Tribolium castaneum: one gene and its partners. Each later gene encodes a partner of the first gene's protein in a complex. Links are inferred from orthologs where the notes say so. Each region holds a gene or a part of one and is shown in the gene's direction. Other genes may lie near its edges.

Region 1 (3,172 bases):
TTTTGTTAATAATTTTGGGATGGGAGCCAGTTACAGGTAGGTTCCGGATTAAGTACGGAGTTTCTCCGGTGACGTGCAGCTCTTTTTATTGAATTACATTCCTTAAATAATTTTATTTGTACTGAAATTGCTTCCGTTTTGGTTTTGTCATGCCGAATTATTTTAGATGTTATGGATTATTTTTTCTGTTTCATAAGATATAAATGCATGTCTTTATTGTTGTTGTTAGACGAAACTTTTTGTTAAAATATTAAAGAACTTGGTTGCGTTTGTAAGGAACTTTTTTTTGCATTCCTTAATGAGTATTCAATAACACGGTCCAATAAATCCGACTTCATGTTTTTTTGAAGTGTCGAATGCATAAAATGATATTCTATTATGTATAGAGGAGTGTAACTTACAGTGTAGAAATATCCATTTGCTTATTACGAGTATGTATAGAATGTGTTTCTCCACCCTTGTGAAACTACATAATTTGAAAAAAACAATTGCAAATGTTACTTCCCGGCTATTTTTGTTATTCTTTTTCCCAGACTGGTCTAAACACAAATAAAAAACATGACAATTTTTATCAATCACTTTTCTATTTTAAGAAAACTTTTGTGGTAAAGTTTCCTTTTCCAAGCTCGATTAATAAAATGCTTGTTTTATGTTAAAGTTTATTATTGAAATAATAGTTTAATCAAGAGGACGAATAAAATGAACAAATAATTTATTCAATCTTTTGATTTATTTTTATTCATTCCTTTGATGAAACTTGTTTTTTTAATAAGATTTATATTCGCGAATTAAAATTTGATTCAGGACTAATTGCCATTTACTTTGTATTCACAATGAAATAAAAATTTTACTGGGATTAAATAACTCTTTATGTATTAAATGAGCATTTTATTAATAGGAATTGGAAAAAATATTGTATAATACACGTGAATGAAGAAACTTTATCCACTCAAAAGCCTTTTCGTGGATAAAATTCGTCTTTATTCACTATTTTTATTTTATAGTTATGTGAGCGGAATTATTTTGAGCAAATATTTTACATTTATCTATCTCTTGACTTTGTGCGTATAAATAAAATTTGTAATGTGTTTTTTATATCTACTACGCTAGTTGTTATTTCGTATTTTTCATTTCATTTCTTATACTGATGTTTATGATGTTTTATAGTTCTATTACTACATGATATTATGGGACATATTTGATTATTTCTTTCTATTTGTTAAGTTTATATTTTACGCGTCTTGATTTGCAACCATGAAGGGGTCACAGGTTTCGGTATTTGATTGCTAGCAATAAACTAATGTTTTTTTCCTAATTACTTACCGCTAACGCGTGTGTGTGCCATTTAAAACGTTAGGGCAAGAAATGGAAGGACGTTCACCGAAATTTGTTGTAATTAAAATGGCTCGACGGCTGGAAGGAGCTAAGGAAACGAAGAGAATGTGGAAGATGTCGTAGTTGGGAAAATAAGTTAATTTATTGTAGTAAATCCGAATGCCCTGAAACTGCGTGACTTTTTTGTGAGCCAGCGGAAGATGGAATTATTTAGACGAATGTAATTCAAGAAAAAGCAAAATCCGATGCACGCTAATGACCATCACTTACCTGTTATAAAACTATAGAGATTTAATTGGTGTTGTGCCAAAAAGCAAGTCGAGTTGACAGCTAGTACAAAGCAAGCGCCAGCGGAGGCTGCTATTGTGCAACACTGTCTCAACCCGCACGTCTAATGCAGTACCCCTGGTTGTCTGCAGAGTTCGAAACACGAAGAGAGGAAACTACAACAACTCGATTACATGTTAGAGAAAACGGACAAAAAAGAAAGGTCGGGCAAAGCGAAAGAGAAGAGGGAAAAGTTGAGCGACGAGGAAAAAGAGTTGAGGAAAGAACGGAAGTTGGGAAGGAAAAGGGTAACGACAGCGAATTTAAAGACTTTTTAATGTTGTTCAAATTCGACAGGATCGGACCGAAGAAGCGCTCCAAGTTGAAATGAAGAGGCGAAGAGAAGAAGAAAAAGGTAGTTATTACTTCGTGTTAATTATTACTTAATTTCGTTTCAACAGCGGCGAAACTTTCACACCAAAATGGAGAAATCATGGAACCCGTCCACCAAAGAGAAAAACATCATCGCTCGAGAGTAATCACTAATTTTTTCTAGAATTTTTTATTCATGTTTTTACCACAGGACTTGTCACCATATCCACGAGAGAGGTCGCACGATGACCGACTCGAAATGAGGGAAAAACAATATCCTTTTTATAGACAATTTTAGCCCATTTCTCATTGTTACATTGTAAATTTCATTATTAAATTTCTTTACTTTCGACTGTTTCATTTCATGTGGTTTTAAAGATTTTTCCTTAATGAGGTTTACCAGAAGAAGTGCCGAAAATAAAAGGAGATGATAATTTTTGCGGATGGCGATTTAATTTTATTTTTAGTAACTTTAAGTGTATTACACATGGATTGTACGTTACTGATGTGATCTGTAGAATATGAGAATAAACATGGTAATGTGGTATTTTATTGTAAATCCACCTTTTAATCCGTCCTTATTCCTATTCAATAAAAACGAATTTTTGTGAGGCACTTTATTTGATAAAAATATGAAAAAATTGTACAATATTCGACGTCATTATAAATATTTATATATCTATTAAGTACTATTTTGGCCCTGTTTGACTAGGATTAGGCACACGATATTGGTACACACTAAAATACAAGCATAAAAATCACAATAATCATAAGAAGATATCTTTGGTATAACAAAAAGTTGGAGCAAATCTTAAGTCTTAAATAAAGAACGAAGTGAATACTTGTTACATATCCTCCGCCATAACTCTCTTAATCTTACTCTTCTCCTGCTTCCTGGACTTGATCGGCTTCAAGTCGGGAATATCACCTGGCCCATGACACTTTCTTTGGTGCTTTTTAAGTAGAAAATTTCTGGTAAACGTGGAATCACAACATTGGCATTTGAAGGGCCTTTCGCCCGTATGTATCAAGATATGGCGTTTTAAGTCAGTTGGCCACCCGAATTTTTTCGAGCAGTATTTGCACTGGTACTTCCTGATTTTCTCAGGCTCTGCCTCTTCGACCATTGTGACCAAGCAGAATTTAATTGGGTTGACGTCTTCAATTCCTGAGTCGCTTTCGACGTCCGAATCGGGTT
Region 2 (4,161 bases), on another chromosome or scaffold:
AATGTGTCACTCAAAATATCACTTTTCAACACCGCATTTAAAGATTTTAATTGCAATTAAGTTTTATGAAATTATTGGTTTGAGAAATAAATAAATACGACACAGCAATAAAATACACCTACCTTCATATCGCTTCCACGTTGGCTACCGTTTGTAGCATTAAAAAAAAATAATAATAATATTGAAACCAAAAAAATGTTTATTTGCATTAAATTTTGAGCAAGCCACTTTCATTCATTGAAATTAAAGACAAAATTATTACGTGGCAATTAATTATTTGAGTGTTTGATTATAATTTTATTTACTGTATTTAAAATGTGTCACTCAAACGCGATCACTAGCCACCGAATTGAAAATTTAAACCGGAAAATTTAGATTTGCTTGAACACACGTCCGTTCGCGACAACGGCAAGTAACAAACTGAATAAATTGAACGAAACCGCACAATACACAATAATTTAAATAAACCGACTCACCTCGCTTCGCCTCGCCTCCCGCTCCCGCTCCCGATCTGACCCGTACCACTGCTCGCTGTCGACTGAACCGCCCTCGCCGCCTGCGCCGCACACCTAACCTCGGATGTGACGTCATCACACGTCTAAAACAGGTCATAACCAGAAACATTCACTGTCCAAATCCGTCAAATTTAGAAACATTCATACACAGAATTATTCAAAATAGAACAGTATTGATCTAGAAAAATTAATTATGACAAATGTATTTGTCTATAAACGTCTAAAATTATAAAAGTTTCGCATGCAGTTAATGGAAAAATAAAAATGCATGTTTATATTTAAACAGAAACTGGCAATGTGAAATTTTAGTGCGAAAATTAGTGGTAGAGCTCGGAAACTCTGTAAACGACCACGATAGGCGGAGCCAATGCGTACTTCATCGAGTGAGGAGATTGAGCAGTGGCGTAGCAAAAAACCATTCTATGATCAAGAAGGGTTTGAGATTCATAATTTGTAGTAGTTAAAATTTCCTCTATTCAATAATTGCAAGATGAAATAGTAAAAATCATATCTAATGCTAATACACGTTGATTTCCTAGAAATACAAAGCAGAGAGGTCGAATAAATAAAAATACACAATGAGTAAAGAGTAAAAACGCGTTTATTGCAAAAAATGTTTCTACTGGTATCTTTACTATAACTGGTAATATTGAAATGTTAAACTTTAAGACGAATTCCCTACACATGTAAGTACACGCCACGCCACTGTTTTCTGCCAACACCCCTAATTTAAAGATTGGACTCGTCCGAGACGAGTTTTCGTATCTGCGCACTCCTACCACCGTGGACGATCTGTCATTTCGCGGACTCTAACATTATTTTTGACCTTTGACAGTTGTTTACAAGACGATTCCGGTCGCTTATTCAAGTATTTCACACGAAATTGAGCGTTTTTCACGTTGGGGGCCCTCCAAGCGTTGCATTTAAGCAATGGGGGGCAAATTCGAGTCGTTACGGGTCGAATACCAGGTGGGCCCCGACATAACCTCAAACGCCACTTCTAACCCGGTTTTTAGGACGTTTTACGCAAATCTTTCAAGACCAAAACCACCGATTTGATCGAAACTAAAGCCAAACACTTGTCGAAGTCCGCCATCGACCTTAAGGCCCCTCTGGACCAGGCGTTCCGCGACGTCTTACTCGAACTCCTTGAAAAGGAAGTCAACGTCTCAGTCTTACGCGAGTTGGTCGATTTTAGCGTCCTAACATGTCGCAAGGAACTGAGCAACCCCACAATGCCAGTGATGCTCCTTTCGGACATTTTTGACGCCTTAACGCTGGACGCCTGTCAGGAAATGTTCCTCTACGTAGAGAACAATGTCGAAGTGTGGAAAGAGAACTTGTTTTTCAGTTGTTGCAAAAATAATTTACTCAGGTTGTGTAACGACTTATTGAGGCGGTTATCTCGGTCCACGGCGACCGTTTTTTGCGGCCGAATTCTCCTCTTTTTGGCCAAGTTTTTCCCGTTTTCTGAACGTTCAGGTTTGAATATTGTGAGCGAATTTAATTTGGAAAACACGACAGAGTATGGCACGGACTCGAGCCAGGAAAAGGGGGGCGACGTTGACGGCGACGAAAAGAAAAACGTGATCGATTTCACGTTTTATTGCAAGTTTTGGTCGCTCCAGGATTTTTTCCGGAACCCCAACCAGTTGTACACTAAAGTGCAATGGAAACTGTTTTGCACCGTAATTATTTTTGCGCATTTTAACCGATTTTTATTATTTTTTTTAGTACGCCACGAGTGTCTTTAACACGTTCCAAGGCCTCAAGCTTGAACACGTGGAAAATAACGGGAGCTATTGTGACGAAAGTAAAAATAAAATGTACTTTTCCAAGTACCTGACGAGCCAAAAATTGCTCGACTTGCAACTGTACGACGTCAATTTTCGGCGCGCCGTCCTGTTGCAGTTTTTAATTTTATTCCAGTACCTTTCATCATCCGTAAAATTTAAATCGTGAGTCGGTTTCTTTAAACTAGACGCACCTTTAATTTATTTTTTTAGCGAAAGTTTCGAGTTAAAGTCGGACCAAAAAGAGTGGATCCAATCAAGCACCGAAAAAGTCTACAGTTTGTTACGCGAGACTCCTCCAGACGGTAAACGATTTGCCGAAATCGCCTCAAATATTCTAAGTCGGGAGGAGTATTGGAACGCTTGGAAGAACGACGGTTGTCCCGAACTGAAAAAATCGGTGGTTCCCACGGAAAGCCCCGACAAGCGCCGAACCGAAGAGCGCCCTCTCTTAGGCGACATCATTAAACAGGCCTCCAGTGAGGGCAAATACTACATGGGAAGCACCGAACTGACCAAACTGTGGAACCTATGCCCCGATAACTTGGAGGCTTGTAAAGGCCGAGAGCGCGATTTTCTCCCCACACTTGAGGATTATTTCGCCGATGCCATCGCCCAAATCGAGTCACCTGGCGCAGTCAAAGACGAAGACAATTTACTGAAAGATGGGAATTACGGGTGGCGGGCTTTGAGACTCTTGGCTAAGCGCAGCCCCCACTTTTTCACCTACAGTACTGTGATTATGAACCCCCTGTCTTCGTATTTGGAGATGATGGTCAAGAAAATAGCGCATGATAAGCCAGGTCGCGTGACCGAAAATTCGCAAGAGTCGCAACAAAACGACGCCGAGGAAGAAAATTTGTTTAAGGACACGCAAGTTGATGAAAACACCGAAGACATCAAACCGTCCGAAACGGAGGAATTTATGGACGATAAGAACGCGCGAGTCGAGCATAAATTAAACCCGAACCAGTTGCAACTCTTCAGCGAGAAAGTGGCCCCCAATTGGAAAAAACTAGCCAGCAAGTTGGGCTTCAAAACTGACGAAATCCAGTTCTTCAGTATGGAAAATGAGAAAGAGGTGGACCAGGCCCGTAATATGCTACAACTGTGGTTCGATGACGACGAAGATGCCACTTTGGACAACTTCTTGTACATTTTGGAAGGGTTGGAGATGGAGGAGGCGGCGGAAATTGTCCGAAATGAAATCAATTCGATGGATTCCTAACTGTATTTAACTCGTTTCGCCCTATTTTTACTTTTCAATTTGCGTTTCATATGTAATTGTTTGTGATCAACCTTGGGACAGTCCCGTTTTTTGTGCCCCGGTTGTTTACAGTGGAAACAATCCTTTAATAAAATTATTAAACCTTGAATTGGGAGTTTGAGACTGACCTGAGTAAAGACCAAGTCGCCGCATTTGTGGTCCGGTTGGCAGCACCGACCACATTTTTCGCAGTGCTGCCAACTCGGTTTAACGCACCTTGCACACATGGGACAGTGGGTGTACGTCCGGCCGTCTTTCGAGGTGCATTTCTGGCAAATGGGGCAGTGTTTGTTTTCGTTTGAAACCCATTTGTTGCACTCTTGGCAAAATTTGTAGCCTTCATTCGCCGGAAGGACTATTTTACTACAATTTTTTGTCCCGAAAAGTTCGTAAAAATCGTCGGCTTACCTCGGGTCCACGTTCGTGAAAATTCGGACGGGTGACCCAAATTTCCGCGCCTTAGCGCCGTCTTGAAACAAAGGATGGTTGTCATAGTCGACTTTATAATCGAGCATGGAATAGTCGGGGAGGCTGTTTAGTATTTGCGGTTCCATAAAGTAGGGGAATACCCAAAATACCGACAATT
Region 3 (2,946 bases), on another chromosome or scaffold:
CGGACACGCGGTCTTCTCCTGAATCGTTTAAATCCGATGAGTAATTGGAGATTCGTCGACAAAATAAGAAAAAAGTGAACTTTGAACTGCTAAGATCATAATTTTCGACGGATTTTTGAAAATATGATTACGGGATTTAATTTATTGATAACTAAAGTATCCACGTTTATTAAAAATGTGATTTAAATAATGAATCAAGTAGTAATAAAATAATAATAAACAAGGAAAGTACACCGTTATCAGTCATGTTTACTTTGGTGTACTTTACCCTTTATTAATTTTTTCTCATTAGACACGTGAAATCACCTAGAGTAAATATAATCATCAGGTGATCATTCCGTTAGTACCTGTACCGATAGAAACCAGATATTAAATATCTTGCAATGCTTCAAGTTTGATATAATTGATAAAATATAAATAAAACAATATTTTAAAGCTTAATTAAATATGAAACTACGAGTTACGTGTCTAAAAAGTAAAAACTATTTAGACTGTTTATTGTAAGATTTACCGAAAATTCATCTTATTTTTTTGTTTTGAATTTAAATTGTGATGACCTTTCTAGACCTTTCTGTTTTTTGTCAAATGCACATCGCGTATGAAATACTCTAATAGCGATAAAAAATTTTGAAATATGTCTATCCAAAATAATAATAAATAAATTACCCAAATAACAAACATCATTAAAATTGAAATTAGAAACTTTTTGCTTTTTTGTGAAAACAGAAAATAGCACAAGAAATAACTTGTGGTAGCAAAAACTGGAGCAGATTCACTTAAAATGTAAAAATCTTTAATACATAGTTTATTTTTTGTTGAATTTTTTGAGGTATTATTGTGTTTACAAAAACGGCCAAAAAATAGCTTGCGGGAGCAAAAAATTGCACAAAAAAAGCTTTCAGGAGCAAAAACAACTCAAAACAAATAGGTTGCGACAAAAAAAATGCACAAAAAATTGCTTACAGGAGCAAAAAACGACACAAAAATTTGCTTTTTTGTATTTCCGGGACTAAAGTTGGTACTTTAGAAGCTTAAAGTTCGAGGGCTGTCGTTATGCAACGAGCGTATGCGAGACACCTAGACACCTGAGAACTTTAAGCGTTTTTGCATAAATTATTATTCAAAATTTTTTGTTTTTGTTTAAATTTAAAACACGTTGCTATGGAAAGCGTGTTTTAAAATAGTGAAAACATTCGTAGCCGATGACAAAATCACCAAAATACGTATTATTTAATAAAATAAATTATAGTCATATTTTTAAATGATTTACGCTTTATAAGCTTTTGTTATATGCAACCATTAAAACACTTATCTCAACATGTCCTCTAATTGCTATTTCTAGTAATTTTTGGTTTAGACTTTCGATGCAACTGTTGGCAAGTGCCAACATTTGACAATTTGTGTCATAACCTCAAAAAATACAAATTTTTCGGCGTCCACAGTGCAAACAAATCCGCCTTAATGAAACAAAAGGACAAACGTGGTACCATGTCGGATGGTAAATACTTCCCTTATAAAATTACTAGTGTGTCCAAACAGTAAAACTTCTAGAGGACATTATCAAAAGAAAGTTACTCATAGACGGTGACGGAACCGGCGACGATCGCAGGCTCAACGTAATAGCAAAAACTCTTCGAAAATGGGCAAATTCCACCGAAGACTCCCCCTTAGAGAACCAAGCAACCCACGACAAACTACTAGCACAATTAAGCCTTTGTGAATACTCAGTCAGGAGATCCCAACTCCTCACAAGAACCACATCGCGTCAGCTTGAAAACTACAAAAAAATTTACGACAAATTTGAACAGCAAATCAGCGAAGTAAAAGACTCAATCAAACAAAACAAAGACAACTTAGTACAAGCCAAAATATGGAAACAAAACCACATGATGTACGATTTGTTGGCACAAAGTATTGCCGAACAGCCAGCACGCAAGGAAACAAACGAACGCCTTTCGAACTTACAAGCGGAACTGAAAGAGTTGCACAAGGAAAAGGAGCTGCTGGAGCAGAAACTGGACATGAGGAGAAAACAATTTCACGTGCTGGTGTCCAGCGCCAGCAAATTACAAGCAATGTTGGAGGAGTCAAACGAATATTGCCATAACGACAGTCTACTTGAGGATGTGGCGGACAGCACAGGCCCTGAACCCATGTCTGAATAATTTAAGTTGGTAAAAGTGACAATTACCACGGTTACTTAATTTATGTTAGAAAATCTGACAGTTACCATGGTTACATGTCATCAGCTATGTTATTTTAGGCGAATAAAAGCAAGTACAAAAATTATTTGAATAGTTTTATTTTAAGCACCTTAGTCACATTTCTAATGGTTAGAGAAACTCTCGTGTCTCTTTTGACTTTATCGCCAATGGCGTATTGTTTCTCACAATTTAGTAAATTTGCACAGCCTTCATCAATAACATCAGTTTCAATTTCTCTAATGGAATGGAGGTATTTAGCGTACATGTCGTCTTTAATTACAACTAGACTACACCTTTCGAGAAGTAATTGGCAAACTTTAGCACGACTTTCGTTATTTTCTAAAAACTCTAATACTGTATGAGAGCCACACGAAATGGTGGCAATAGTGGGATAAAACAGTGGCCCATCAGTGTGTGGCATTATGCCTTGGCCGGGAAGATATTCGTTGATTAATACTTGATTCGGTTTGTTTCCCTCAAAAACGTTCAATTGAGCGACTTTTTCCATGTATTTCGTCAACCAGTTTGGTATTGCTTCCGGAATCATGCCTTTCTCGTGGGGCACGCCCCCGTAGTCTTGCAGTCTTCGTTTGGACAAACACGTCCACTTTGGTTTGGGCACTGAATACACATTTTTCAAAATGTGGGCCTCCTCTTCAGGTGTTACAAAATTTGGAATGTAGTAGACAGTCGGAGGGGCTTGTAACACTTGAAAACTGCTCAGATCCATCGAACACACAAC

The links.
Region 2: the proteins of tho2 (region 1) and Hpr1 are in contact, whole or in part, in a cryo-EM structure (PDB 7ZNL), measured with the Homo sapiens proteins. The link is inferred for Tribolium castaneum from reciprocal best matches to the Homo sapiens genes THOC2 and THOC1. Residues at the interface, in NP_001075019.1 of Homo sapiens: Leu155, Phe156, Tyr157, Lys158, Gln160, Asn163, Leu164, Leu165, Arg166, Asn169, Glu170, Ala173, Lys174, Ile176, Ala177, Gly180, Gln181, Asn195, Lys197, Ser198, Leu199, Ile200, Gly201, Cys202, Phe203, Asn204, Leu205, Pro207, Asn208, Arg209; in NP_005122.2 of Homo sapiens: Asn134, Arg138, Asn141, Leu144, Arg145, Lys149, Thr153, Cys156, Gly157, Gln160, Leu161, Ala164, Arg165, Phe167, Gln242, Phe245, Arg246, Tyr297, Ala299, Lys300, Phe301, Arg319, His320, Leu323, Gln324, Ile327, Tyr331, Arg373, Phe374, Lys376.
Region 3: tho2 (region 1) and thoc7 share a complex: the UniProt entries of both Homo sapiens proteins name them as parts of the transcription/export (TREX) complex. The link is inferred for Tribolium castaneum from reciprocal best matches to the Homo sapiens genes THOC2 and THOC7.

What each region holds. Positions count from the first base shown.
Region 1 is NC_087402.1:8,538,491-8,541,662, reverse strand, and holds the end of tho2 (THO complex subunit 2), read left to right. Parts: exon of another isoform or gene 1-36; intron 37-1,622; exon of another isoform or gene 1,623-1,754; coding exon 1,755-1,910; intron 1,911-1,959; coding exon 1,960-2,017; intron 2,018-2,063; coding exon 2,064-2,137; intron 2,138-2,185; coding exon 2,186-2,247; intron 2,248-2,374; coding exon 2,375-2,405; 3' UTR 2,406-2,521; downstream 2,522-3,172. Other genes in the region: zinc finger protein 264, read right to left, coding at 2,820-3,172. UniProt on the Homo sapiens protein: Component of the THO subcomplex of the TREX complex which is thought to couple mRNA transcription, processing and nuclear export, and which specifically associates with spliced mRNA and not with unspliced pre-mRNA.
Region 2 is NC_087399.1:4,612,844-4,617,004, reverse strand, and holds Hpr1 (THO complex subunit 1), read left to right. Parts: upstream 1-1,343; 5' UTR 1,344-1,445; coding exon 1,446-1,484; intron 1,485-1,531; coding exon 1,532-2,203; intron 2,204-2,249; coding exon 2,250-2,473; intron 2,474-2,521; coding exon 2,522-3,536; coding exon of another isoform or gene 3,537-3,658; 3' UTR 3,659-3,684; downstream 3,685-4,161. Other genes in the region: rRNA N6-adenosine-methyltransferase ZCCHC4, read right to left, coding at 3,533-3,658, 3,704-3,938, 3,984-4,161. UniProt on the Homo sapiens protein: Component of the THO subcomplex of the TREX complex which is thought to couple mRNA transcription, processing and nuclear export, and which specifically associates with spliced mRNA and not with unspliced pre-mRNA.
Region 3 is NC_087397.1:9,556,667-9,559,612, forward strand, and holds thoc7 (THO complex subunit 7 homolog), read left to right. Parts: upstream 1-1,340; 5' UTR 1,341-1,461; coding exon 1,462-1,498; intron 1,499-1,551; coding exon 1,552-2,165; 3' UTR 2,166-2,286; downstream 2,287-2,946. Other genes in the region: alpha-ketoglutarate-dependent dioxygenase alkB homolog 6, read right to left, coding at 2,287-2,934. UniProt on the Homo sapiens protein: Component of the THO subcomplex of the TREX complex which is thought to couple mRNA transcription, processing and nuclear export, and which specifically associates with spliced mRNA and not with unspliced pre-mRNA.